Saccharomyces cerevisiae S288C: one gene and its partner. The gene in region 1 interacts genetically with each later gene. Each region holds a gene or a part of one and is shown in the gene's direction. Other genes may lie near its edges.

Evidence for each region.
Region 2: mutations in YEN1 (region 1) and DNA2 are lethal when combined (synthetic lethality), as found in Saccharomyces cerevisiae (5 studies listed by BioGRID, with this or other methods).

The regions. Positions count from the first base shown.
Region 1 is NC_001137.3:230,857-234,617, forward strand, and holds the start of YEN1 (crossover junction endodeoxyribonuclease), read left to right. Parts: upstream 1-1,604; coding exon 1,605-3,761. Other genes in the region: nitrogen-responsive transcriptional regulator GLN3, read left to right, coding at 1-1,131. UniProt on the Saccharomyces cerevisiae protein: Endonuclease which resolves Holliday junctions by the introduction of symmetrically related cuts across the junction point, to produce nicked duplex products in which the nicks can be readily ligated.
Region 2 is NC_001140.6:427,286-431,046, reverse strand, and holds the start of DNA2 (bifunctional ATP-dependent DNA helicase/ssDNA endodeoxyribonuclease DNA2), read left to right. Parts: upstream 1-1,868; coding exon 1,869-3,761. Other genes in the region: U4/U6-U5 snRNP complex subunit PRP8, read left to right, coding at 1-1,340. UniProt on the Saccharomyces cerevisiae protein: Key enzyme involved in DNA replication and DNA repair.

The DNA.
Region 1 (3,761 bases):
TCAAAGAAGAGAGCCAAACAAACGGACCCAAACATTGCACAAAATACTCCAAGTGCACCTGCAACTGCCTCAACTTCAGTAACCACTACAAATGCTAAACCCATACGATCGAGGAAAAAATCACTACAACAAAACTCTTTATCTAGAGTGATACCTGAAGAAATCATTAGAGACAACATCGGTAATACTAATAATATCCTTAATGTAAATAGGGGAGGCTATAACTTCAACTCAGTCCCCTCCCCGGTCCTCATGAACAGCCAATCGTATAATAGTAGTAACGCAAATTTTAATGGAGCAAGCAATGCAAATTTGAATTCTAATAACTTAATGCGTCACAATTCGAACACTGTTACTCCTAATTTTAGAAGGTCTTCAAGACGAAGTAGTACTTCATCGAACACCTCAAGTTCCAGTAAATCTTCATCCAGATCTGTTGTTCCGATATTACCAAAACCTTCACCTAATAGCGCTAATTCACAGCAGTTCAACATGAACATGAACCTAATGAACACAACAAATAATGTAAGTGCAGGAAATAGTGTCGCATCCTCACCAAGAATTATATCGTCCGCAAACTTTAACTCAAATAGTCCTCTACAGCAGAATCTATTATCAAATTCTTTCCAACGTCAAGGAATGAATATACCAAGAAGAAAGATGTCGCGCAATGCATCGTACTCCTCATCGTTTATGGCTGCGTCTTTGCAACAACTGCACGAACAGCAACAAGTGGACGTGAATTCCAACACAAACACGAATTCGAATAGACAGAATTGGAATTCAAGCAATAGCGTTTCAACAAATTCAAGATCATCAAATTTTGTCTCTCAAAAGCCAAATTTTGATATTTTTAATACTCCTGTAGATTCACCGAGTGTCTCAAGACCTTCTTCAAGAAAATCACATACCTCATTGTTATCACAACAATTGCAGAACTCGGAGTCGAATTCGTTTATCTCAAATCACAAATTTAACAATAGATTATCAAGTGACTCTACTTCACCTATAAAATATGAAGCAGATGTGAGTGCAGGCGGAAAGATCAGTGAGGATAATTCCACAAAAGGATCTTCTAAAGAAAGTTCAGCAATTGCTGACGAATTGGATTGGTTAAAATTTGGTATATGACCGCGTATTATCATTATCATTATTCTTATTATGTTAATAATTACTGAACGGTTGCATTGATAGATTTTCATTACCTCTGACCACAATCCTGAGCATTGGTATTATTTGTTTTGCTATTTTCAGATCAAATTACTTGTAAAAAAAGAAATGGTAGTATATTGGCATTGAACACTGGCTGTTCTATTTGTATTACTTTTATGTGTAGACATATATTATTAGGAATTTGTAATATCACTCTAATTATTATTTGGTATTCTTTCTCTATCTCCCCTGTTTCTTTTGTCTATCTCTTTCTTTTTTTTTTTTAAACGGCCCTTTTTTAATGGCATTTTCTTTTTCTTATAATGCCCACAGTTGAATAATTTAACTAGCTTTTGACTGACACATAAACAATAATGTATATGGTCCATCCAATGAAATGACAGTTCTATTGCATTTTACCTACTTGTATATTCTGGATACTGCACAAGAAAATGGGTGTCTCACAAATATGGGAATTTTTGAAGCCATATCTGCAAGATTCCAGAATTCCGTTGAGAAAGTTTGTCATAGACTTTAATAAATCGCAAAAAAGAGCTCCAAGAATCGCGATTGACGCATATGGATGGCTATTTGAGTGTGGATTTATCCAAAATATAGATATAAGCGCCAGATCTAGATCAAGATCAAGGAGTCCTACCCGTTCTCCGCGTGATAGTGATATCGACAGTAGTCAAGAATATTATGGTAGCAGAAGTTATACAACTACAGGAAAAGCTGTGATAAACTTCATATCTCGATTAAAAGAACTACTGAGTTTAAACGTCGAATTCTTGCTTGTATTTGACGGAGTTATGAAACCCTCTTTCAAAAGGAAATTTAACCACGAACAGAACGCTACTACTTGTGATGATGAGAAAGAGTACTATTCAAGCTGGGAACAGCATGTTAAGAATCATGAAGTTTATGGCAATTGTAAAGGATTGCTAGCGCCATCTGACCCTGAGTTCATCAGTCTTGTACGGAAATTATTAGACTTGATGAACATTTCATATGTAATCGCATGTGGGGAGGGAGAAGCCCAGTGTGTTTGGCTGCAAGTTTCTGGGGCTGTAGATTTCATTTTAAGTAACGATTCAGATACTCTCGTATTTGGGGGAGAAAAAATCCTGAAAAATTACTCGAAATTCTACGATGATTTTGGCCCAAGTTCAATAACTTCCCACAGTCCCAGTAGACATCATGATAGTAAAGAATCTTTTGTTACTGTTATAGATCTACCCAAAATTAATAAAGTAGCAGGGAAGAAGTTTGATCGCCTGTCTCTCTTATTTTTCAGCGTGCTATTAGGTGCCGATTACAATCGTGGAGTCAAGGGTTTGGGTAAAAACAAATCTTTGCAGTTGGCTCAATGCGAAGATCCTAACTTTTCCATGGAATTTTATGACATTTTCAAAGATTTCAATTTAGAAGATTTGACATCAGAAAGTCTGAGGAAGTCTCGGTATAGATTGTTTCAAAAAAGATTATATTTATACTGCAAGGATCATTCTGTCGAGCTATTTGGAAGAAATTATCCTGTTTTATTGAATCAAGGTTCATTTGAAGGCTGGCCATCAACTGTCGCAATCATGCACTATTTTCACCCCATTGTCCAACCATATTTTGATGAAGAAGTTCTCAGTGATAAATACATAAATATGGCTGGAAACGGACACTACAGAAACTTAAATTTCAATGAACTGAAATATTTTTTACAAAGTTTGAATTTGCCTCAAATTTCTAGCTTCGACAAGTGGTTTCATGATTCTATGCACGAGATGTTTCTATTAAGAGAATTTTTATCAATTGATGAGTCCGATAATATAGGTAAAGGTAATATGAGGATTACCGAAGAAAAAATTATGAACATAGATGGTGGAAAGTTCCAAATACCATGTTTTAAAATACGGTATACAACATTCTTGCCTAATATACCCATTTCTTCTCAATCTCCTTTGAAGCGCAGTAATTCTCCCAGTAGAAGCAAGAGTCCCACACGACGTCAGATGGATATAATGGAACACCCAAATAGTCTTTGGTTACCCAAATACTTGATACCTCAATCGCATCCATTAGTAATTCAATATTATGAGACACAGCAACTTATACAGAAAGAAAAAGAGAAGAAAGGTAAAAAATCGAATAAGTCTCGGCTACCACAGAAGAATAACTTGGATGAGTTTTTAAGAAAGCATACTTCGCCGATTAAAAGTATCGGAAAGGTAGGCGAGTCGAGAAAGGAAATCCTGGAACCTGTGAGAAAAAGGCTTTTTGTAGATACAGACGAAGATACTAGTCTGGAAGAAATACCGGCTCCCACAAGACTGACCACCGTCGATGAACACAGCGATAATGACGATGATTCGTTGATTTTTGTAGATGAGATTACAAACAGCCAAAGCGTTTTAGATAGTTCACCCGGTAAAAGAATTCGGGATCTTACACAGGACGAACAGGTTGACGTTTGGAAGGACGTAATAGAAATATCACCAATAAAAAAGTCAAGAACTACTAATGCTGAGAAAAATCCGCCTGAGTCTGGTTTAAAATCACGCTCAAGCATCACAATCAATGCTCGCCTTCAAGGTACTAAGATGTTGCCTCCAAAC
Region 2 (3,761 bases), on another chromosome or scaffold:
CAATGTCAATAGATAAACTTTCTGATGTTGTGATGAAAGCTACTGAACCTCAGATGGTTCTGTTTAACATTTATGATGATTGGTTAGACCGTATTTCATCGTACACTGCATTTTCTAGACTTACACTACTTTTAAGAGCTTTAAAGACGAACGAGGAAAGTGCCAAAATGATTCTACTCAGTGACCCCACGATCACTATCAAATCGTACCATTTATGGCCTTCATTCACTGATGAACAATGGATCACTATCGAATCTCAAATGAGAGATTTGATTTTGACTGAGTACGGCAGAAAATACAATGTCAATATATCTGCCTTAACTCAAACGGAAATTAAAGATATTATATTGGGTCAAAATATCAAGGCACCATCTGTGAAGAGACAAAAAATGGCTGAATTAGAAGCTGCCAGGTCAGAAAAGCAGAACGACGAAGAAGCTGCAGGTGCATCAACTGTTATGAAAACTAAAACTATCAATGCGCAAGGTGAGGAGATAGTTGTAGTAGCTTCCGCTGATTACGAAAGTCAAACGTTTAGTTCAAAGAATGAATGGAGAAAATCTGCAATTGCTAATACACTATTATATTTGAGGTTAAAAAACATTTATGTTTCGGCTGATGATTTCGTGGAGGAACAGAATGTTTACGTCCTTCCAAAAAATTTATTAAAGAAGTTTATTGAGATATCCGATGTGAAAATCCAGGTGGCGGCCTTTATTTATGGTATGTCAGCAAAAGATCATCCGAAGGTGAAAGAAATCAAGACTGTTGTGCTGGTACCTCAATTAGGCCACGTAGGATCCGTTCAGATAAGCAACATCCCTGACATCGGAGACCTTCCGGATACTGAAGGCCTTGAACTACTCGGTTGGATCCATACCCAGACAGAAGAACTTAAATTCATGGCTGCGTCTGAAGTAGCAACTCATTCTAAACTTTTTGCGGATAAGAAAAGAGACTGCATTGATATTTCAATTTTTTCCACCCCGGGATCAGTATCATTAAGCGCTTATAACCTGACCGACGAAGGTTACCAATGGGGTGAAGAAAATAAGGATATAATGAACGTGCTATCGGAAGGGTTTGAGCCTACTTTCAGCACGCATGCCCAATTACTTCTCTCTGACCGTATCACAGGTAATTTTATAATTCCATCTGGAAACGTTTGGAACTACACATTTATGGGAACAGCATTTAACCAAGAAGGTGACTACAATTTTAAATACGGCATTCCTTTGGAATTCTATAATGAGATGCATCGTCCAGTACACTTTTTACAGTTTAGCGAATTGGCGGGGGACGAAGAGTTAGAGGCCGAACAAATCGATGTATTTAGCTGAATATATTCCCCAATAAACTGGAATCTGTTATTTCATAGATATATATGTAAGTATAAGTTTGTATGTATAATATTCAACGCATTTTTTATGCCCGTCGTAGTTGCTACCTACCACACGATGATGTATTATAATTTCGGAACTACTTCAAAGCTACGCTTTCCGCACTATGAAAAGCTATAAGTATGTGAAAATTGGTCATTGACTGTGATTCTATTTCAAAAAGTAACCAAAGGAGATAGACATCGTTCGGACAGAAAATGGTCCGTTGTCACTCCCATTCCATTATGTCCTTCATATAGAAATTGGATATTCTTGTTTTCATTTCGCGCAATAAAGCAATTCCGTGCGGCAGAAAGAACTTATATATATTTAACTGATCTTACGCTATTTATGGCAAAACTTGTGTTACATTTTTGAAGATAAAGTTACAATCATTACGGCAGCCTCAAAACAAAATTGGGAGAAAACATACTCAAGTGAGTACTCATTTTGTGCAAGCAAACACTGACAATTGAAGAGATCGTCAGGATGCCCGGAACGCCACAGAAGAACAAGAGGTCTGCGAGTATATCTGTTTCACCTGCGAAGAAGACAGAGGAAAAAGAAATAATACAAAATGATTCAAAGGCGATATTATCTAAGCAAACTAAGAGGAAAAAAAAGTATGCTTTTGCTCCTATAAATAACTTAAATGGGAAGAACACCAAGGTATCCAATGCAAGTGTCCTAAAGTCAATAGCCGTTTCACAAGTACGAAATACATCAAGAACAAAAGATATAAACAAAGCAGTTAGCAAGAGCGTAAAGCAATTACCAAATTCACAAGTTAAACCGAAACGGGAAATGTCTAATTTGAGTAGGCATCACGATTTCACTCAAGACGAGGACGGCCCCATGGAAGAAGTAATATGGAAATATTCACCTTTACAACGAGATATGTCCGACAAAACAACAAGCGCTGCCGAATACTCTGATGACTACGAAGATGTCCAAAATCCCTCTTCTACACCTATAGTCCCTAATCGACTGAAAACTGTTCTTAGTTTCACAAATATCCAAGTACCCAACGCTGACGTAAATCAACTCATTCAAGAAAATGGAAATGAGCAAGTGCGTCCTAAACCAGCAGAAATATCTACCAGGGAGTCTCTCCGTAATATAGATGATATTCTCGATGATATAGAGGGCGATTTAACTATAAAACCGACGATAACGAAATTCAGCGATTTGCCATCTTCACCCATCAAGGCACCCAACGTTGAAAAAAAAGCAGAGGTGAATGCAGAAGAAGTAGATAAAATGGATTCAACAGGAGATAGCAACGATGGCGATGACTCTTTGATAGATATTTTAACTCAAAAGTATGTTGAGAAACGCAAGAGTGAGAGTCAGATAACAATTCAAGGCAACACCAATCAAAAAAGTGGAGCCCAGGAAAGTTGTGGGAAGAATGATAACACAAAATCGAGAGGAGAAATTGAAGATCATGAAAATGTAGACAATCAAGCCAAAACAGGCAATGCATTTTATGAGAATGAAGAAGACAGTAATTGCCAAAGAATTAAAAAAAATGAAAAAATAGAATACAATTCTTCAGACGAATTTTCAGACGATTCACTAATTGAACTATTGAACGAAACTCAAACACAAGTGGAACCTAACACTATTGAACAAGATTTAGACAAAGTGGAGAAAATGGTCTCTGACGATTTGAGAATTGCTACTGATTCCACTTTATCCGCATATGCTCTCAGAGCTAAGTCTGGTGCTCCAAGAGACGGCGTAGTACGATTAGTAATAGTAAGCTTACGTAGTGTTGAATTGCCAAAAATTGGAACGCAAAAAATACTAGAGTGTATAGACGGCAAAGGCGAACAAAGTTCTGTTGTCGTTCGACATCCTTGGGTATATTTGGAATTTGAGGTTGGGGATGTAATACATATTATAGAAGGGAAAAATATTGAAAACAAACGGCTTCTTTCTGACGACAAAAACCCTAAAACTCAACTGGCTAACGACAACCTGTTGGTGCTAAACCCTGATGTATTATTTTCGGCAACATCAGTCGGAAGTTCAGTAGGTTGTTTAAGACGTTCAATTCTGCAAATGCAATTTCAAGATCCCCGCGGAGAACCAAGCCTTGTCATGACTTTAGGCAATATCGTACACGAGTTATTGCAAGACTCAATCAAATACAAGCTCTCGCATAATAAAATTTCTATGGAAATCATAATACAAAAGCTGGATTCTTTGTTAGAAACTTATTCTTTTTCAATTATCATTTGTAATGAAGAAATCCAGTACGTTAAAGAATTAGTTATGAAAGAACATGCTGAAAACATTTTGTACTTCGTCAATAAATTTGTTTCGAAAAGTAACTATGGTTGCTACACATCAATTTCCGGAACAAGAAGAACACAG